3 linked regions of the Xenopus tropicalis genome follow. The protein of the gene in region 3 interacts with the protein of the main gene of each other region in a biochemical or structural test. Links are inferred from orthologs where the notes say so. Each region holds a gene or a part of one and is shown on either strand. Other genes may lie near its edges.

Evidence for each region. The genes of interacting proteins can lie anywhere in the genome.
Region 1: of the proteins of hdac5 (region 3) and sik2, one has a biochemical effect on the other in vitro, tested with the Homo sapiens proteins (2 studies listed by BioGRID). The link is inferred for Xenopus tropicalis from reciprocal best matches to the Homo sapiens genes HDAC5 and SIK2.
Region 2: the proteins of hdac5 (region 3) and zbtb16 form a complex in vitro, tested with the Homo sapiens proteins (2 studies listed by BioGRID). The link is inferred for Xenopus tropicalis from reciprocal best matches to the Homo sapiens genes HDAC5 and ZBTB16.

What each region holds. Positions count from the first base shown.
Region 1 is NC_030683.2:84,189,234-84,196,619, forward strand, and holds the start of sik2 (serine/threonine-protein kinase SIK2), read left to right. Parts: upstream 1-2,261; 5' UTR 2,262-3,330; coding exon 3,331-3,465; intron 3,466-7,386. UniProt on the Homo sapiens protein: Serine/threonine-protein kinase that plays a role in many biological processes such as fatty acid oxidation, autophagy, immune response or glucose metabolism.
Region 2 is NC_030683.2:85,511,249-85,518,939, forward strand, and holds the start of zbtb16 (zinc finger and BTB domain-containing protein 16), read left to right. Parts: upstream 1-2,566; 5' UTR 2,567-2,796; intron 2,797-6,044; exon of another isoform or gene 6,045-6,112; intron 6,113-7,691. UniProt on the Homo sapiens protein: Acts as a transcriptional repressor. Transcriptional repression may be mediated through recruitment of histone deacetylases to target promoters. May play a role in myeloid maturation and in the development and/or maintenance of other differentiated tissues.
Region 3 is NC_030686.2:18,405,286-18,412,178, reverse strand, and holds part of hdac5 (histone deacetylase 5), read left to right. Parts: coding exon 1-159; intron 160-1,552; coding exon 1,553-1,697; intron 1,698-1,832; coding exon 1,833-1,944; intron 1,945-2,363; coding exon 2,364-2,494; intron 2,495-2,621; coding exon 2,622-2,753; intron 2,754-2,978; coding exon 2,979-3,091; intron 3,092-3,425; coding exon 3,426-3,539; intron 3,540-3,675; coding exon 3,676-3,856; intron 3,857-4,115; coding exon 4,116-4,306; intron 4,307-6,865; coding exon 6,866-6,893. UniProt on the Homo sapiens protein: Responsible for the deacetylation of lysine residues on the N-terminal part of the core histones (H2A, H2B, H3 and H4).

The sequences.
Region 1 (7,386 bases), on a different chromosome or scaffold from region 3:
TATAAAATCTATTCTAGCTATTGGCAGAATATCCAGATTTACTGTCCATTCCTGTTTTACACCTTTAAAATCCAACAGGGCAATGCTATGCCCACATATTTTTTTGTTTTTGCAGTCTTTGAAAAGCAGTATACAGCAGCTTTATATCAGAAAATGCCTTTATTGGACTTGGCCCGACCTCAGATAAAGGGGGCAGTCTTGCACAAGTGCCCCACCATGTCTTCATTTAGCAGAAAGCACAATTAAAAGATCATTTGCCCTTCACTTGAATTTATACACTGTCTTTTAAGTTCTATTTTAATTTAACGTTTCTATAAACGTTTAATTGAAATAATTAACTAAATTGATTTTTCTGTACACTCTTGTGTATCTACATATTTGTTTTGTATGAATGACAGCTCCCATATTTAGCCAAAACATGAAAATGGAAATATTCTTGCTTACATATACTATTAGTGACCTGGACTAAGCAGATCACATACATTACATTGTCCTTGTTTATTAAGAAACAAAAGTTATTTCTTTAAGTAATCAGGAATTCTGCAAAAAATGACTCAATTTTTGCCTCAGGTAAACATCTTTTAATTCAAGAGTACATCGCTACTCACTCTGCCTCCTGGGTGCTAAATACTGCAGCTTCTGTAGAAAAGAGCTATGGATCCATCCCAGGTTGTGTGTAAAATTGCAGGTCACCCCTTTATAGAGAAAGGAAACCTTTGTCACCCTACTATTGTAATGCCACTGGGTCCATCTCCCTCTTACAGTAATATGCACCTGAAACCAAACTTACACACTTCATTGAAATACATAGAGTCATCACCAGTCCTCTGATATAATCAGAAGCAGAGGAGCAGGAAGCATTGAATGGCCGATGGGTGAGACAGGGACAGTCAATATGCCCCTGGATCAATTTGGATTTGGGCTGGCATCTCGGTTATTAAGCTTTATTTTCACGTTGATCTTATTCTTTTCTATGGAATTAATAAGACTACTTGCCTTATAGAAAACAATGAAACCACTTCCAGGCTGTATGCAGTGGCTACTTATTTTCTTGCTCAATTTACAGCCCTGTGTGTACAAATAGCTGTATATAAATATAAAATGTGCTTACATAAATCACCACATAAGACACCAGTTTATGTGTGTTGGTATAAGAGCCAATAGTTATTTTGGGCATGAGCAGCAGTTTTTCAAGAGACAGCGGCGTATGTAGAAGTTACTGCGCTCTTTATAAAAAATCATTTTACAGTTTAACTAAATATTCAGGGGCCTATAGTGTTAACATTCCCAATAGCTTTAAACCCTACACTTCCTTATTTCACTATTACTGGGCGGAAGCCCATGTATCTATCTTGCTATAAGGATGTTTTGTATCTTTGGCCCATGAGACTTATGATTACTTGCTGCACACTGTAACATAGTGTTCAGCAGGAGGTGAGAACTTCTTATTTGGCCTGCATCTGTTGAAACAGGTACATGATCAACAAGGCCTCAGTAAAGCCATCTATCTCTAGAGAAGTCGGGGAGCAGGGACCCTGTGAACGAGGATTTAGTAAGTGCAGGATATATTCTCCTTTACAGTCTCCACTGCCTAATTGAAGGGGCCACAGTTATAACAAGGGTATCAGGCATAGCCTTCTCCCTCATATATGTCTGCTGTTTGGGATCTGGTCCATTAAGGTAAGAAACTTTAAGGAAAAAGATGCCCTACAGTGGTGCATCTTTACATTGCTTGCTCTGCATTTAACGTGCCAATCTGTTGCCCTGCATCTGCATTGTGAGTATTACTGCATTAACCTGTGGACCATTTGTCTTGGACAAATAAACTGAGTTCTGTTTGAGTTTGCTGCAAGAACCATCTGGTACCCTTTATTTCTTTATTTTTGCACACAGCATAAGTGAATTGTAGTTGCACAACTACATGTCCCCCTTGGTCCTTTCACATAACAAAGGCCCATCCTGTGTGTTAGTCAAGTGTACCCCATGCTCCATAGCCCATCTAGCTGGTCTTTGTTTTGCAGCCAAAAAGGGGTTGCAATTATAAGATAGTTTCATAAAATGTTCATTAGTCAGTGACCCACTAGGCACACAAGCGGTAGCAGAGTACCTATTCCCCTCAGCTGACAGCCCGGTTCGACAAGCCTCTAATCTCCACACCAGCCCTGGCACAGAGAGATAGAACAGCAGCCCTAAGAGAGCACAGCTAGGGCCAGGGTAATGTTGCCTGTCATGCCCCACAGATGCCGGTGGTGGCGCTGTCTCTCCAGGAGCACCGTGCCCAGGGAACACCATAAGAACAAAGTTACTGTGCGAGCTACTTATTATTATAATAATTAATTAAGACCAGTAACATGTGCATGCGTTAATAAAGAGTGCTGTGTAAATGCGGATGTATGCAGCCCCCCTGCTTCCAATTGTTCGCATGTTTCTCGTAGCTCTGATCAGGAACTCCCTGAGCCCCGGTGCAGCAGCAGGCCCGGGGCTGCCATCCTGCCTCTAAGCTATAGCTGCTATGTGCGAACAGGCAGCGCCTCAGCCACACACACATGTATACTCTCCCTGTGCTAGCCTTGACTGACAGCTTCAGCAGAGGGCTGCTGACGTCAGAGCTGGCTCCGGTTGTCAAGGGCAACCTATTTGGCAAGCGAGCTGTGAAAAAAAGACAGGGAATAAAGGGCCCGCCCAGGAGGCCTCCTGCTGCTCTGACGTCAATGGACGTTAACTGTGAGAACATGATGCCTTGTGCATAGAGCGGTACATTGGCTTCCTGCTGCACAGCTGCCTCCACTCCCTGTGTCTGGTCGCACGCGTGCTACAGCGACTAACAATACCTCTGTGCAAGTGAATGGGAGCTGCACAATGCTCGTTACTTTGCAACACTTTAGCCGTAAATCTGCCTGCAACGACTTGATGAGCTGACTTTATCGGACCTGTGAAAACTCAGCCCGATTGGTTGCGTTTTGTTTGCATGTTAATGTCAGACGTTCCCACCTTGCATGGATGTGTGAGAGCTCATTCGGGTATAACCGTGCTGAACACATGGCAGGAGCTGGACAATGCAAGCAGTAACGCGTTCCATTTGGGAATTCTTCGCCACCATCAACTTTACAGAAAAGTCTTGCGATTGTATGTAATGTGCGGGCGCTAGAAGCTGAATGTAGTTTGCGTTGGGTTGCACTTGCCTATAAGGAATGGCTAAGGTGAGCCCCCTGTGAGCGCCTGTAGGATCTGCCTGCGATTCCTTTCACTGCGACTTGTTGGGGGGTGTGAGCACTAATCGTGCCGGTTGATGTCTGTTTCCCGTTGGAGCTTCCTGGCCCGGCTCCCAGCATGGTCATGGCGGACTGTCAGAAGCCTGTACAGAGGGGTCCTGTCCGGGTCGGATTTTATGACATAGAACGCACTTTAGGGAAAGGGAATTTCGCGGTGGTGAAGCTGGCGAGGCACCGGATCACCAAAACCGAGGCAAGTACTGGCCAAATGTCTGGCTAATAACTTGTGTGAGCTTCACTGCATCCCTCTGCTGTTCTTGCACTACAACTCTTGGCGCAAAACTGCAGCGTGTTTTAGCGCAATAACAGCTGGGAAGCCGCTTCTTTTACATTTCAACTATTTCCATTTTCTATTATGCCAATAAGGGCATTTTCTGCCTATTGCCTTATCCCTGCAAAGTGCTGGGCACCCAAATGTGACAGTGCTGTGTTCTGGTAGGGAGTGTTGCTGCTGAGGACTTGCTGGGCACCAACTTACAGCATTACCTTTCCTTAGCAAGTGATAATGCTGGACATGTAATTATGGCATTGGTGTTACCTGGTAGGTGCTGGGCAGTGGCACCTATTTATGGCATTGTTTTACAATTGTGAGAGTGTTTGCAGTGCACCCATACTCCTTTACACTAGTGAGGTCTTATGTTAGACATCCAGACATGCCTTTGCATTACCTTTGTAAGTACCATTACTGGGCTTTTAAATATGGCATTGCTTTATCCTGGTAAAGGCTTTTGCTGGGTTCTCCTATATGGCATTTTTCCCTTTAATGGTTAAGCTTGTGGTGTCTAAGTATGGCATAGTTTACAGGGTAAGGTTATTGCTCTAACTTGGTAAGTGTTATTTTTGGGGATCCAAGTGTGCCATTGCTTTAGCCTGGTAAGGTCTGCTGGTGGCCACCTAAACGTGACATTTCTTTTCCCATTAACAACTGGTGTCAACTATGACACTGCCAAGTAAGGGTAAAGATAATAAATAGTAAAAATAAAAACATCTTGCCAACTGCAATAATAAAATTTTTATTTTTTATTGATGCCACATTATATAACTATAATTTCTTATTAATCCAGAGTCTTTAAAATCACAGTACAGACCTGCTTTGTGTGGCACCATGGAGACAATAAACATATTAATTGGCATAGAAATACTTTAGCAAACAAAGTTTGGGTACAAACAGCTTTTATTTTGCTAAATCTCATTACATTGCTTACTGTTTCGTGGCCCAAAGACAGCAAAGTCAAACATAAAGTACCAGCATCTTCTGTCTGGGAATACTAGGGGTTTGGGTTCAACAACCGCTAAGGTTTGCCAAACATGCTGTTGCTTTTCTCACTTACAGCCAGAGTTACAGGTGACTGGCAAAACCTACTCGGCCAAGTATCTTATGAACTGCACTAGTAACCAATTTGTTCCCTAGAATCCAAGAACACCGGTTCATGTTTACCTGCTGATTTATGAGCCACCTAGCAGGTTTAGCCCCTCACTTAATACCGCAGGTAAAGCTGTGCATTAATCCATAGTACCAATCAATTTTTCCTGCTTTTTCCAACTGCATCGCACTGATTAAAGGTATATCTCTGGCTGCTATTGGTTACTGCAGCATTTCAGTGAAGCATCTCTCTTAGAGAATGGGTTCATGGTTTGTTTGTTTGCCCAGTGTGTAGTTTTTATGATAAGTCATCTGAACAGAACATGAATTCTGCATTTTAGTTATGTTGCCATAAAATGCCTTGTAGTCACAATCTCAGGTATAGAAACCAACTCCAGTCACACTACCAAGATTGAGTGACACTCTATCTAAAAGGTGTACACTGTGGGTTTTTTACCTGTTTCTGGGTCATGTAGTTCAGCCGATCAAACTGATACAGCTAAGAAATTGATGTCATCTGATGGCCATTTATATTTTCCTGAGACCTGTAGTCTCTTAGTATCACTTACACCAAGGCAGATTAAATGTCACCCCTTGCATCTTGTCATCGGACCTCTGTATCCTGTGGCAATGAGATGCTCTTACAGTTAGAGAGCTGGCAAGGGCTGAATGAGTATTCACACAACATTATTTTTCTTCTATCTGTGATGCATTACTGTATTCTATACATAATACTTTTACTAAACGTTTAAACATGTCCTTGTGTCAAGAACTAGTTAAATTGTTATTAAAGGGGATATAAATCAGTGAATAAAAGTTTGCCAGATTTGAGAGATGGTAATCCTAAGCAATTTTCAACATGTATATGTGAATTGCCTATTTATAATAATTATAAAGTTATTTTGTAAATATATATGCTATGAATAATAGTATCTGTTTGGCCCTTTGTTATTAGGACTTTTGAAACAAGGTAGCTGAAGCCTGCAAGCCATGCAAGGCTGACTTCTGTTACCTTGTTTGAAATGACAAAACGAGCAGTGCAGAAATGGAAAGACAAGTGCTGCTTTCAGTTGCAAATTACTTTAGAACTAGTGAAAAATTTTATGAAATGTATATTGGAAGGTTCCTTAGAATTAGATTCTTTTATTAGAAATACTTTTTTTGGACTGTGGGGGAGATATTTTTATGTTTAAATTTTAACATTCTGCCTTATTGTGGCAAAAACAGATTCATTTGTAATTTTAATTTAGTGTGCTTTTGTATGTAAAAATAATATAAGCATTGTATTGGGGCCTATATAGAGTTAGCACAGTTCTAAGAGGCATTTTTTAGTCTCCAGTTACAACTATACCTCCATACATCTCTGCACATTTCTGCCTCAACTTATTCCTCATGCAGGTGAATATCTTGCGAGCCAGGTTTGCTGCCAACAATATCTGTTTAGTTTAGATATCAGTGATCATTTTTGTTTGTGACTTGCAGTAGCAAGCAGTATTGAAAGCTGCCCTTTATGTACTCTTTGCTTCCTGTTGATATAAGATCGAGGGCTTCGTCGGGTCCTGAGACAAGTACATTTTGTTGCTAAACTTTGCATATTGTGTAAGTTTGTTTGACCCTGAATTCAGGTCACGGAACACTGTTCAGTTTTTCAGTTCATTTTTTTTAATTGTTGCACTATTGAAGCTTTTTGTGCTCTGTTATACACTATCTTGCAACACAAAATGCACAACACTTCTAATCAGCCTTTCCACCTAAATTTGCTAATTTTTGTGACCTATAGAAATGATTGTTGGCAATGAATACATTCTTAAAGTTACATTTACTTATTTACATGTTTATATTTAATGATCACATAACAATTAATGCTTTGGTAAGCCAACAATTAAGTACAGAGTATCTAACAATATGTAATAGCTACATTTTTTTCTAACTTCATGTTGGCATATTTAATACAGTAGAATTTTTAACAAAGAAGTCGTTCTGTGTTAAAAATGTAAACCTTAAATAAAAATATGATCTTTTGGCAGTTAGTGTGTGCAGTTTAATAAAGTCTGCACTGACAGTTGTACTTAAAGGCCATCACATGCTGCCCCTGGGATGCAGGGAATTCTACCCAATTCTGTCCCTTTCAGTTTTGTTGTATCACTTACCATCTATCTGATATAAGGTATTAATGTCCAAATGTAGGCACAACTCCCAGCACCTTTCAGGCAGCTACTGTATGTAGTTGTAAAATACCCTGCAGATGTGTGATTACTTCTTAGCAGTTTGTAAATAATTAAAAATGTAAATTCCCCTCTCCATGCTCAACTAACACAAGAGTAGTCTGTTGCTTTGATCTAATGTAAAACAGCCTACCTATCAGCATGACACATTGGTACACTTACCAGACAGTGCAGAATCACTTGGAGATAATATTTATGGGCAGGCTCTATTGCCTTGAGTTTAGATCAGATCCTGTGAAGTCCAAGACCTAACATGCAGTAACAGTTTTATGTTAAAGGGGAACTCCAGCTTCCAAAGAAAAATTTGTTAAAGAGCTCTACACAACACAGAAACCCTTAATAAACCTATTACTGTAATCTGTTCCTTCAAAAAATATGAATAAATGCCATCTTTATATGTTAAAAGCCAGCTGCAAAACATGTTACAAATTGTATCCGTTTCTTCACAATTTACAAATAGACAAAAGGAATTCTGGGAATGAATTACAAACGCCTAAAAAAAAAAAAAAAAAAAAATCCCATTTAC
Region 2 (7,691 bases), on a different chromosome or scaffold from region 3:
CACATTCTGACTAAGAGTTCTGCTAACTATACAATGTATTTTTCATAGCAAACCTTCACTATTTCTATTCTACAAATTATATATATATATATATATATATATATGTGGGTGCAGGATAGACCTGTCAGTGGACACACAGTGGATTTTGGTGCATAAGTGCAAAAGCATGCATTTTTGCACCAAAATCTGCTGTGTGCCCTAACAGGATGATCCCAAGCATGTCAAAGGCAGCATATTTGGTTTTCTCTACTGGCGTAAATACAACCCAGGTGCAAATATATAAAAATCCACAATTCATAAGGTAACCAAATACACACTTATAAAAGTATCTAAATCTGCAACCCTCATCTAACAGTGAAACCTAACTCCTCATCCAGCTTAGATTTTAGTGTCACCTGAACCAAGTAAATTATACTTAACTGATCATTTCTTTAAACTTAGACATTTTTAACAAATGTTGCAGGGATTTATAAAAAGGACTGTTGCTCCACAGGAAATCTTTTTTTCAGTTTTAAGATAAAGAGTGTTTTTTTTTTATTAATATACAGAGTTTTAAAGAAGCATATATTTCCAGCAACACTGTGTAATTTTAAAATGTTGAATACATACTGTTCATATTAATTCCCTTGGTATTGTATTAGGTAATTATTACATGTTAAATATATTAACATTGATTCTGGTAAAATTAGTCTGTGATAAAGACAAAGGATAATATTCAACTAAAAAGCTTAACAGAAGTGTCAATATTTCTCCCAAGGGAAGAACATCTAATAGACTTCCAACTAACTGTCGGAGGATGATCGGGGTTTTAGTTCAATATCAGAAGGAGCTGCATTTAGCCTACTGCTTCTTTAAATTATTACATTTTACATTTAAAAGTGCTACAGCAAAAGCCACTGAAGTTCCCAAGAATCTCCAGACACTCAATGCATAACCAGCCTCCTAAAAGCATATCTAGTCTTTTGCTGTCTTGTTGACGAAGAAGTAAGTAATAGCATAAAGCCTAAGACTAAACCCACATAATATGAAAAGCCCAATTATTCTCTTAATAATCCCTGCTAGGATCTACAGAACTGAAATACAGTTGTGGACATCACAAGAATACAATAATAAAAATGTCATATATTGAACTAAATCCATGTAAGCCCAAAATACATCTCTTTATTCTGAACAAAAGGATGTTGGGTTTTAAAAAAAAAAAAAAAAAAAAAAAATACCACAGAACATCTTAATTGCAATAAAACACAAATCTAAACACACGTAGATACAAACAAGCAGTATGTAACGCAATCAATTATTTGATGCATTTAAAGGGGAACTCCGCGCCAAACACAAATTAAGCTTTTTGAAAAATAAACATAATTTCAAGCAACTTTGCAATATACATCAATTCAAAAATATGCATCTTTTGATGATTTTTAATGTAATAATATGGTTTGGAACAGGTACCTAAGCCTGGCCCCCTGTTCTCCTGCTGATCTGGCTGACTACTTTGAGATTAAAAATAAAAATTTAACAGTAGTCGACTGTCCTCAGCCTGAATCCTCCAAATCTCACAATTCCCTGCACACGTGATGTCAATAAGGAAAAGAACATCACAGTGCTTTGTGGGTAATGTAGTTCCTGCATTCTGTCTGTAAGCTGTGGAGAATTTTTTTTTTTTTTTTAACATGTGTTTTAGTCCCTCCTCCCCTGCAAATGATGCAGAAAGGGAAGAACTGTTTTGCAGCTTGATTTCAGCATATAAAAATGGTATTTATTCAGTGATATGTGGGGCTCTTTTAAAAATGTTGGTTCCAAAGCCAGAGTTCCCCTTTAAGTGCGTTCCAACCAGCATCTCAAACATGTAAGAAAAAAAAAAACCATGTGTAAGGGCCCTTAATATACACATTAATGCTATACTTGATCTCTCATTTGTCCTGCCTTACATGAACCTCATTTAAGGAGAAGGTGGGCACCAAGCCTCACTCACACCATTTGATCCCCTATATACAATGTAGGATCGAATGTGTCTCCTAGTATTCATGTCCCTGGGTCAACTGTACCTTCCTTTATAAGAATGAAAAAAATCACAAAACGAATTGTATAACGCCACTGTTCTTTTAAAGACCCTCATTAGCAATGGGCTTTAGATAAGACAGTTAAATATGGTAAAGGAACCAAGCAGCCACAGTGGAATGTCTAAAGGACACTTCTGAAAGCGCAGACAGAATACACCGGGTACAAGTAAGGGGACCTATGTGATTATAGTATTCCTTTAACAAGAGAACGCAGACTATTTATTACTGTATATAGAAGCACTCGCTGTTGTTACCCCTACAGACACATTAGCATTCACGGTTCAGTACTTAATGAATGGAAATGCTGCGAGGTCTCGGCTCATGACAAGGCTGCGCTGTTATTCTCTACCCACAGAATTCCATAAACTACCGCCTTGCCGAGAACTATTATGTCTAACCCACACTGAAACCCGCCGATTCCCTGCCGCTTGAATCTTCAGAGCACCTGATGCTCCCTTTCCAACCACTCTTGACTGACACCAACCTTCCATTCCTTCCTAGCCAGGAGTAAGCATGGCGGCCGGCCGCTCCAGCATGGGGAGAGAGAGTCACGTGGGCCAGGCGCCGGCCTGACGTCATCGTTGTGTTGATTTGCTAACCTTAAAGGAGAGAGGAGTTAGTGAGCATGAGAGCGGGCACTGCGAACTGTTTGGATTAGGCTGCTGCTTTAAACAGCGCATCTCTACTCACATACATGCCTGCAGAGAGAGCTAGCAAAGGAAGAAGCCCATCTGAGGTGAGTGCAGCTAGTGAGCCTTTTATTCCTACAAAGTGAGCTACTCCCTAAACTTATCATAAGGGCATTTCTTATTGATAGCGGCTACAAGAGGCTGTGATTGGATTGAGTGGCTGAGTACAGTAATACAATACGCTGGGTTATAGTGTTCTGATACAAGCATGCTCAACCTGAGACCTTGCTGCGTTATAGTTCTCACTGTACCTCGGCAGCCTCCGCTTGTCTGGACATTGTGGGAAAGGTAACCCTAGCCGAGGGTGGGTAGGTCACGTCTGTGTCTATAGCCATGCTTGCACTTACACTGAGGGGAGCTTGCATTGCTCAGGCTCCGGAAAGTCGGAGTTGCGCTGGGTACATGCATACTTCATGACGTTTGTCTGTTTCCCCTTTACACTGACAATGCAAGCATATTATTGTCCTGTACGGGTTTAGTTGTGCACGTTAAGTGCTCTCCCTCCATCACTTTTTATAGTGATCCCAAGTCAACTTCAGCTGCTGCTGTGTGAGATCCGTGCGCTCTGCATGGCACAAAGCGCTGGAAAAGTTCATCAGAAATCCCGAATTAGCTGCTTATTGGCAGGATAGCGCTAATTGTGTATGCGCCGCCACACTCCCGGCACACAGGAGCCCCGTTATTATCCTTATGATCACTATTATTAGGTGAGGATAGAGAGCCGGTGAGGTGCACACTTACTGAGTACTGACAGAGCTATGGCTTGCGAATACTGATTTGAGGGATGCTCTATTGTGCACTGCAGGAAAGGCTGCGATACAGTTCATCATCTTGGATTAGAATTCGTACAGATCCACATCTGGTACTAATACAGATCGCTTTTCTACAAGGCACAATAGGGCATCCCTTAGCCCCAGCGCTGTCCTGCCATCCTAGGCGCAGGCTGTCCCAGTGGGTGCACATTGATTATTGTTAGTGTTATCATAATGTCGCACACTGATTCTGAGAGCCCCGCTGCCCTACCATTGAGCAACTCACGCACATTGGGATTAACTTTAAGCGCTTTGTGCAATGCAGGGGGCATGGCGCTATTTCGCTGTAAGGTGCAGACTCCTCCGTGCGCTGCAGGGAGACAATATCATTTCTTAGAATAAATTCCGTGCGCTGCAGGGAGACAGTGAGATTTCGCTTTCCTGCTGCTGCTCTGAGACGGGCATGGTGTTTGCACTTGTTTGTGTCTGCTGGTCCAGGTTTTCTTTCGGGAGATGGGATTCTATAGAGAAACTGTGATTTATTGCGTTTTATATAGATAAACAATAGAAAATTGCGTTTGATCACCCTTGGATTGTGACATCAATATCTTGCCATTCCCACTGTCTCTTTGCATTTCATCTGTTGAATGAAAACCCGAGCTTTTCCCTCCGCTCCCCTTTTCTCGTGGAATATTTTTATTTTTGTGCATTTTTAGTATTATTCCTGTAGATTTCATTCATATGTGTGCTTTCCATTGCTTCCCTCTCTCCCCATAAAACATCATGTTCTCAATTCTATCCAGAATTTTGTTATGAAACTGCCCCGCCCCTGTATCCCTGCTGTATCTGTCTGTACAGTGCGATCTATCTGGATCGGTCTGGCCGCTAATTCCATTCTATACGAATCTTTGAGCTGGATACCGGGCTCCGTGCGCTAAAAGCCCCGCGTCAGTATTTGGTGCTCTCTACATTTCTGTCACTGTATATTGGAGGTGGGGTACGGCAGAGAGGACAATTGCAGGATATTGTCAGTATACATTTCACTGATTTTAGCCTGCAACCTTCTAGCTGTTGCTCTACTACAACTCGTAGCATCACCAGTAGGAGGGTGCTGGGAGTTGTTGTTTCACAGCAGCTGAAGGGGCTGCAGGTTGGATAACCCTGATTTGTTGGCCCTTCACCTCAGGTTGCCCTAACTGAGCTGCTCTTATTATTAAGTGACATCTTGTCACATTGCCTCATATTTTACTTATTTTGAACCCCCCCACCATTAAAACGTCTTTCCTCCAAACAAGGGTTAATATCCGTGTGATCTAATCTTCATGTTATTTATGCTATCATGGGTTTTTATGCAACATGTATGATTTCCAAAAACTTGATGTGCCAGGGGTTTAAATAGGCTAAATCTTGGCAATACACAACTGATAAAGAACTTTTAATAGTTCACTAATTAACCCTTCCAGCTCATCAAAAGCAGCTTTGTTCTGTCACAGGGTGTCTTTCCGACCCCCCCACCCTTCCTCCCATCCCCTGTCCAAAGAAAAACAAACAGGAGACTCACAACTGAAACCAATAGATCTGTTTGTCCTTGTTGCAAACCTCCAGGCTGGTGTCCTTGTTTGTAACAAACCTTCTCCTGTATGGGCATTTGCATGGGCATCGTCATGGGCAGAGCTCGCTTTGCTTTATTCTTTATACAGTACATAAACCATAACTTGCTGCCTCAATTGCTTTTTTTGCTTGTTCTTGAAAATTTGCGTGTTTTTTAACAGAGACTTAGCAGTTTCTTCTGTAAAACGCTTACGCACCCATAAAAGTCTGCAGAAATAGAATTCTTTTATGGATAGAGGTAAACTGTAGCCCATATTTTATCACTTCATAAATTATGTGTAACACTGCTTCCCAATCCCACCCATCTCCCCCCCCCCTTTTTTTTGTCTTTAGCTGTTATTGTAGACAGCTCCCTTTTACAATCAGTGATCAATTAGTGTGTATTATCTTATGCCCTGATTGATAAGCCACACAGGTGTTTGCTTTTAGCCCTCTGTCAAGGTATTTTAAAGTGGTAGAGGAAATATTTGCCTTTTTCCGGGTGACATCACAGTTAAGAGCTGAGGTTTATGGGTCTTTGTGTGGCTCTGCATTTATCCCGGTGACCCTCACACTGTATAACTGCCTGCTACTTCCCAACAGACAAAAACATTCCTGCTATTTGCACACACAATAGTACTAGCCACTATTGTGGGATCTGTTTTCTTAGCTCTCTTACCCTGATTTATTATTTGTTGTGTCCAGTATTAATGTGTTTTATTTTATTCTGGTGATATGAAAGCCTGTTATAACACTCTTCACTTTTAAAAAAGGTTTTTGACTTTGAATGTTAACTGCTGGGAACATTTCAATTACAAGGTGGAAATATGTTTTAATGTTGCCTAGATAATGTGGCAGTTCTCATTCTTGCTAATTTAACTTAAATAGTTACTCATGAAGCCAGTTATCTGAACTACAGATGATTTCCCCTACTTTTTATAATACTCTTACAGATCTCTTGATGCCATGCTACTATGTGATACTTGTTGGGGGATATGAAGAAGACCTACATGCTTTTCTGGTATGCTTTAGTTTGTTCATGCGGCTAATTGTAATGAAAAGGTTTAAGGGTGCTTGGCTTTGATACTTCACAGAGCTAGATACCGTAATACATAGCTAGAGAAGTCCACTGGGGGGAATTATTTCTGTACTTAGGCAAGGTGTAACAAATGTGTATGAAACCCAATCATAACATTCCATTTAACATTTAAAATAACATTTGAAATTATTTTTTTTTTTATTTGGCCAGTATATAATTGAAGAAAAATGTGTTCTTTACCTCTTAATTCCTGGTGGGTCACATGCTGTAGAATTTTTTTTGGCTTTGCTACAAGTGTATTAATTTATTCTTTTAAATAGTGTGGACTTTATAATGTTTGTTGATCTTAGTGTTCAGCTTCCACAGAGGTTGGGGTTTGTCTTTCTTTTTCTTTTTTTTTTTTTTTTTTTATAAGAGTTTCTAAATTAAATGAGTTTTATTTCCAGTTTTGCTGAATCGCATGTTGCTTGTGCGCAGTGTAGTTTGAGTTTCAGTGCATCTGGGAGCTATTAGTTTTTTCCCTAGTAAGTGTTAAGTGGGCAATATATGAAGGGGTATTCACTAAACTGTTTGTTGTTGCACATTGACGTTAATGTACCTTTAAATTCATATTCATAGGTAAAAAGTGCTAATGGCAAATTAATGCACAAAACAAAAAATAAAAACATTGGTTTGCATTTGTAATCTCTAAAGTTGTTTAATGGATTTCTAGTAGTTTTCCTCGCAAGATAAGTTGTTCCCCAGTGACAAAAAACATGCGGCAAGTTCATTTAGACTTTTTTTTCTATTAGAAATGAAAATATACTTTTATAATTGTCTTTATTCTTTTCACCTAAACTTTATCTTAGTGACTTCATAACAGAAGTACCTGCATCCAGCATAGAAGCTTTTAAGCTTGTTGAAAGAGCAAGCATATGGATGGGGTGATCCCTTAAATCACAGGTTGGAACCTGTTACCCTCCAAAAGAGCTGGACTACAATGTCTAGTTTCCATTTACTCCTTTAAGCTGTTTGGGGGTGCTGGAAATTGTAGTTAATTAACATCTGAAAAACATCTTGCCTGAAACTTCCAAGCATTCTCAGCTAGATTATATCAAAGAGTTGCAGTTTTATCATGCAGCGGGAAGTTTGCAGAACTGACTCCTATAATGTGAATCAAATACACGTCTGACATTTTGATCTTTTTCTTCTAAATTAGTGCAAGGTTGGCTTTTACGCTTTTGCTGTTAGGGGCTTCTGGGAGTTGTAGTTGACAACATTTAGAAGGCCACGGGTTTGACGTCTCTAATTTTAGTGCATTGCTTTCCTCATATTTAATGAGCTGCAAATTAGGGGTCATTCCAGACTTCATATTGACAGGCTGAGCAAATCAATTGGTTTATACACTAGTGTCATACAAACATTTCATTGGAGAGGCTTTCATCATCTGCAGATGTAATAAAGCTGTCTTCAAGCTTGGATGTTTCCTTTGTTACAAGTTAAAACAAACCTATATTTATATGTCACAGATCTATAAGTATGTTTTAAACAGAATATGAATACTCAGTCTACTTTTTGAGTT
Region 3 (6,893 bases):
ATCCTGGACCCAGTGGGTCGGGAACAACAGCTCCAGCAGCAGCTACTTCTCCTGAAACAACAGCAGCAACTCCAGAAGCAGCTTCTATTTGCTGAGTTCCAAAAGCAGCACGAAAACCTGACAAGGCAACATGAGGTCCAACTACAGAAACACCTTAAGGTGTGGAACCTTTCTTGGTGGCTTGTGAAACCCATGTAACCAACACCTTCATACAGGGTCCCTTTAACTTCCCCCCACCGTAAAGCTCAAGAATCACTGGGCTCATTTACTAAATCATAGTCTAAATAATCAGTACATTTCACTGTGTTGCTCAGTCCGGGACTCCTTTGCTCCTATGTATATTATAACTGGCACCATGCCCCTTGAAGTAAGTACTACTGGCAACATGTTTCTTCCTCCACTATATGAGCACAAGCACGATGAATATGTGTATTTTAACATGCCCGGGCATCCATTTTTGTGCCTTGTAGTAAACTAAACCTTAAATGAATTGCAACACTTTTCTGAGCATTTTGTAGCAGAACTGCTCTGTAGCCCATTCCTTTCTTTTAAATGTTTGTTCTTTATCAGTTTTATATGACGGCTTTTTGACTAGTAGCTTTCCTGCTAAATATAAGCATTTCCCACCGGATCATGCCCACAACTTATAGAAATTACTTTTCTTTTTTCCATATTCCTTAGAGATTGCCCTTTCCCCCATATAAAGATTTTTGGCTGTCTCTCTGATTGGGATGTCGTCTTATCTGTTCAACCAAACTAGCTTTCTTCTTATAACCATATGCAGACATTGCTCCTTTTCTTGTCAGTTCTGGTAGAGAATTGTGTTATTTATGTTGAATTGCCATCTTCCAGCAAAGGGATCCCCAACCTTTTTTAGCCACACCTTAAAGGAACAGTAACACCAAAAAATGTATATATTTTAAAGAAATTAAACTATAATGCACTGCTGCCCTGCACTAGTAAAAGTTTTGTGTTTGCTTCAGAAACATTACTAGTTTATATAAACCCTGGTGTGTAGCCATGGGGGCAGCCATTCAAAAGAAGAAAAGGCACAGGTTATATAGCAGCTAACAGTTAAACCCTGTAGAATACAATGGTGTCTTATCTGTTATCTGCTATGTAACCTGTGCCTTTTCTCCTTTTTTCCAGCTTCAATGGCTGCCCCCATGGCTACACAGCAGCTTATTTATATAAACTATAGTAGTGTTCCTGAAGCAAACACCCCAGTTTTACCAGTGCAGGGCCACAGTACGTTATATTTCAATTACTTTCATTTCTTGGTGTTACTGTTCCTTTAAATATGAAAAGTGTTAGTGAGCCACACAAGCATGATATAAGTTCTTTGGTGATGCTAAATAAGGACTGTGATTGGCTATTTGGTAGCCCCATGTGGACTGCTGGCCTGCAGGAGGCTCTGCTTGGAGTAAAACTATGTCTCTGTGCACCTACTTTAAGGCCATTGGGAGCAACATCAAAGGGAGTGGTTGCCCCCGAGCCACTGGTTGGAGATCACTGCTCCAGCATTCACCCCAGTCTTTTTGAATTTTTGCAGCAACAGCAGGAGATCATGGCCGCTAAGAGACAGCAAGAGTTGGAACAGCAGAGAAAGCGTGAAAGGCAGAGGCAGGAAGAGGCTGAAAAACAGCGACTGGAGCAGCAGCTTCTGATTCTGAGGAACAAGGAGAAGAGCAAAGAAAGTAAGAGGATTAAGGAAAGGGGATACAATTAAGCTAGGGGGCAAGGCAATATGATCAGAAGCTGCAGAACATTCATCTTATTTAGAGACATGGTGCTTAATCCTTTACTAGTGTGTAATCTCTGGTTTTTGTTAGGTGCTATTGCCAGCACAGAGGTGAAACTAAAGCTACAGGAATTTTTGCTCAGTAAGTCCAAGGAGGTACCTGGAAATGTGAACCATTCCATCCTACAGCACCCCAAGTGCTGGTAAGTGAGAACTAGAAGAGGTTTCTTGCACTCCTGAAACCTGCTTTATTCCTCCTTCATACTACATGGTATTCGCTGCTTTCTTAAGTGCTCTTCCCATCTTTATTTTCTACTTCTCTTTCCATCTAATTCTCATCTTTACTTGCACTGTCACCTCAAGTACCTGCAGTCTACTCTACATCTTCATCTCTCCTTTCCTTGGATTTTGTTACTTAATATGTTCTCACCCTCTCCTCCTCCCTTTCCCTTAGTATCTTGCTCTAATCTTTGCAACTCTGTGCCTTCTTGCTGTATTTAACATGTAGCATTACCCCATTATAACTGTATTTCACTATTTTATATGTACCAAATGTTCATTTACCTTATGGCCTCTCATCTGTTTTCTCATGGCATATCAGTGTCCCATTCTTTTGTCATAGGGGCACGCACCATACCTCACTGGACCATAGTTCCCCTCCTCAGTCTGGGTCACCAGCAACTCCCCCATCCTATAAGGTATCCCTCCTTGCAACCTGCGATGGACGTGATGACTTTCCTCTCCGCAAAACTGGTTAGTATATCCAACTTGGGTTTTATACTGGGCACCAGAGAAACTGAGGGAGAATGATCAGTGAAGAGTTTGAGGCTAAGGTTTATGTGTAGGATGTTATTCAAAATCTTATTATGTTTTCCTGCAGCCTCGGAACCTAATCTTAAGGTCCGATCCCGATTAAAGCAGAAAGTTGCAGAACGTCGGAGTAGTCCTCTGCTTCGAAGAAAGGATGGAACTGTTATCAGTGCTTTTAAGAAAAGAGCCATTGAAATCCAGGGTATGCTGGAACTGATACAATCTTTAAGCAACTCTTTACTGCTACTCTTTGCTGAATTCCTTCTACCTGCACCCACATATTTGCCTCTACTTATCCTTTATATATTGCATTCCTCACCCCATACTGCTCATACAGTCACTTTAGTTCTACTGCACTCCATTGCTTTTTTTCCTGTTCCCCTGAAACCCAAGTCTCATCGCTGAGATGTTGGTGCTCCTCCCGCAGTGTCTTCGGTGTGCAATAGTGCCCCAGGATCTGGGCCGAGCTCGCCAAACAGCTCCAACAGTGCCATATGTGAGAATGGACTGACTGGCAGCGTGCCTAATATTGCCAGCGAGGTAAGGGAGGCCTAGGGTAAAAGTTGTGGGAAAGATGTGCATGGAAGGCCCGGACTGGCAATCTGTGGCTTCTGGCAAATGCCAGAGGAGCTGCTGTAATATGCAATAGAAAGTGGACTGGTGGGGGGCTGTTAGGGCTTCTGTGTACATAGAATGCCAGGGCCTATTTTGACTACCAGTCCAGACCAGCATGGAAGCTGGAAGAGGTGAGAAGGGTCAAATGACTGGATAGTTTAAATAGTACAAGGGCTTCTGAACATGGTGGGTGAAAATTGTTTTGTGTTGCAGTGGTCACTACTTAACCAGTGACAATATTGTACTCTAAATTCTTTAGATGCTTCCTCAGCAGAGAGTTCTGGCTCTGGAAGGAGCGGGTGGACCTCTCGGGTTGTATACTTCTCCATCACTGCCCAACATCTGCCTGCAGGGGAGCACCAGCAGCCTAACTGTGAGTAGCCAGACTGAAATGGAAGTAATGTTTACAGTCTGAGAAAACCTTTGCACATTTACAGAGGGTTTTTAGAAATGTATCATTTCCAGGCATGATGACTTGACCTTTACTACTTCTAAGGTTCTCTCCTCAGGGTCAGTTTAGCCCCCAGGAAGGGGCAGAGCGTCAGAGTCTGCGCCCAGGTGGTCCCTTCATTAACACCTCTCCACTGCCTGCCCTGGATGGGGGTGAGATAAGTACCCTGACGGCACCTTCTCTCCTACAGCATGTTCTCTTACTAGAGCAGGCTAGACAGCAGAGCGCTCTCATAACAGGTGAATATCTGCTTTTCTTTTCCCTTTTCCTTTCAAGGTTTCATTTTTCTCCTTTAGTTTTTCTATCCTTAAATTCTCTCTCTTTTCATGACACCCGGTTACATTTTCTTTTCTTCATTCACCCATCTTATTATAACCTGACTTATTTCCTCAAGTTTCCTAACTTGCTTTCCTTCCGTCTTATGGAATCAAATAATATTTAGACTTTCCTTCGTCAGTCAAATTATTTTTCATTACTATTAGTTATTCTTTGTTGCAGTCCCTCTTCATGGTCAGTCCCCCTTAGTAGGGGGAGACCGAGTCTCTGGTTCCCTACGCTCTGTCACCAAAGGCACAAGGCATCGTCCCCTAAGTCGTACACAGTCCTCTCCTCTCCCGCAAAGTCCTCAGGCGCTTCAACAACTGGTTCTGCAACACCAGCATTACTTGGACCAGCAACACCTCAACAAGGTTTGTATAGACCACTCAGGACCTTAGCTTAACTGTGCAACTATGCCATTGCTCCAGAACTCTACATAAGCTTGATATAGTGCCATTATTCCACAATATTCCTGCCCTGTGTCTTAAACGTGGAGTTCTCTAAAAGCTTCTTGTTCTGTATTCCCATCCCCAAATTCTCTGCAAGCTTCTTCTACTGTTTCCTCAATGTGGAGCTCTCTAAAAGCTTTTGTTCTCTACTCCTATCCCCAAACTCTCTGCAAGCTTCTTTTTCTTTGTCCCCAATGTGGAGCTCTCTAAAAGCTTCTCAAAGCTTCTTAATCTTTACCCCTGTCCCCAAACTTTATGCTGACTTCTTCATCTATGTTCTCAATGTGGAGCTCTCTAAAAGCTCTTGTTCTCTACCTCCATCTCCAAACTCTCTGCAAGCTTCTTCTACTGTGTCCTCAACGTGGAGCTCTATAAAAGCTTCTCCTAATGTATTCCCATCCCCAAACTTTTTGTAAGCTTATCTAAAGTGTTCCTAACCCAGAAGTCTGTAAGCTTCTGTACTCTTCCCAGGACAGCCTTGGAGTTGCTTCTTCTCATTCTCAGTACAGTGAGAATGGGAATGGGAATTTATGTAGCTCTGCAATCCTAAAGTTAATGTCATAAATGGATATACAGTGGATATAAAAACTCTATACACCCCTGGTAAAATGTCAGGTTCCTTTTTTTAGTCGCATTCCACAGCAAAAGCCATGGTCCCCAGAGAGCTTCCAAAGCATCAGAGGGATCTCTTTGTTAAAAGATATCAGTCAGGAGAAGGGTACAAAAGAATTTCCAAGGCATTAGATATACCATGGAACACAGTGAAGACAGTCATCATCAAGTGGAGAAAATATGGCACAACAGTGACATTACCAAGAAGTGGACGTCCCTCCAAAATTGATGAAAAAACGAGAAGAAAACTGGTCAGGGAGGCTACCAAGAGGCCTACAGCAATATTAAAGGAGCTGCAGGAATATCTGGCAAGTAGTGGCTGTGTGGTACATGTGACAACAATCTCCCATATTCTTCATATGTCTGGGCTATGGGGTAGAGTGGCAAGGGGAAAGCCGTTTCTTACAAAGAAAAACATCCAAGCCAGGCTACATTTTGCAAAAACACATCTGAAGTCTCCCAAAAACATGTGGGAAAAGGTATTATACAAATACCAGTCAATATTGGCACAAAACCTTCAGGCTTCTGCTAGAAAGCTGAACATGAGGAGGAACTTCATCTTTCAGCATGACAACGACCCAAAGCATACATCCAAATCAAGGAATGGCTTCCCTGGAAGAAGATTAACGTTTTGGAATGGCCCAGCCAGAGCCCAGACCTGAATCTGATTGAAAATCTGTGGGGTGATCTGAAAAGGGTTGTGCCCAGGAGATGCCCTCGCAATCTGACAGATTTGGAGTGTTTCTGCAAAGAAGAGTGGGCAAATCTTGCCAAGTCAAAATGTGCCATGCTGATAGACTCATACCCAAAAAGATTGAGTGCTGTAATAAAATTAAAAGGTGCTTCAACCAAGTATTAGTTTAAGGGTGTGTACACCACATTATTTTAGTTTTTTTGGTTTTCTTCCCTCCACCTAAAAGATTTCAGTTTGTTTTTCAATTGAGTGGTACAGTTTATAGGTCACATTAAAGGTGGAAAAAGTTCTGAAATGATTTATCTTTGTCTCATTTTTGTACAGCACAGGAACCTGACATTTTACCAGGGGTGTGAAAATATCCACTGTATGTCTGTTCACCAATGTAAAAGATTTGACCCAAATTGTATGCTGACTGACCTTAGCTGGGCTTTTGGGGTATCTAGGAGTATGACACCCAATGGACTGTCATACTGACTTTTCCTAGCTATATTTCTGTCATTATTTGCCAATACTATTTTAATTACTCTGGTCACATTGCATGCCCTTATCTTGGGGATGTCTGTGACCCACCCATACTATTTCCAAACATCAGGGTGGTCCTATTACTTCCCTAGGGTAGCTGTCATCTGTTGATTGTATGCTTTCCATTTCCATGTATGTGTATTTTTCCCCTTCATTGATTTCTGGCCTGACAATTCCTCCATTGTAATGAAGTTCTGCTTTTAGGGGATCTAAACCATGTGATCTTTTCCCTAGCTGGCTTATTTTAATGGCATGGTAACACAATACTGGTCCCCAACCAGTGGCTCATAAGCAACATGTTGCTTACCATCCCCTTTGATATTGGTCTCAGAGTAGGTGCCCATTTTTAAATTTCTGGCTTCAGAATCACAGACACACTTTTACTCCAAGCAGAGCCTCCTGCTGGCTAGCAGTTCCCAGAAGTCTACCAAATATCCAATCGCAGCCCTTATTTGGCATCCCCAAATACATTTTTCATGAGTAAAAAAAGGTTGGGGATTCCAACAATAGAAGAACTGTGGGAGGCGCTAAAGAAGTCTGTTGCTTGTTTTAACAGAGGCAGATAAGGCAAGGCTGTGGTACCTGAACACGTTTTTGTCCTTGGTACATTGCCTCTCCATCTCATATTTTTCTTAATGTCATATTTTCAGGCCAGTGAGGCCATCCGCCAGCCACCTA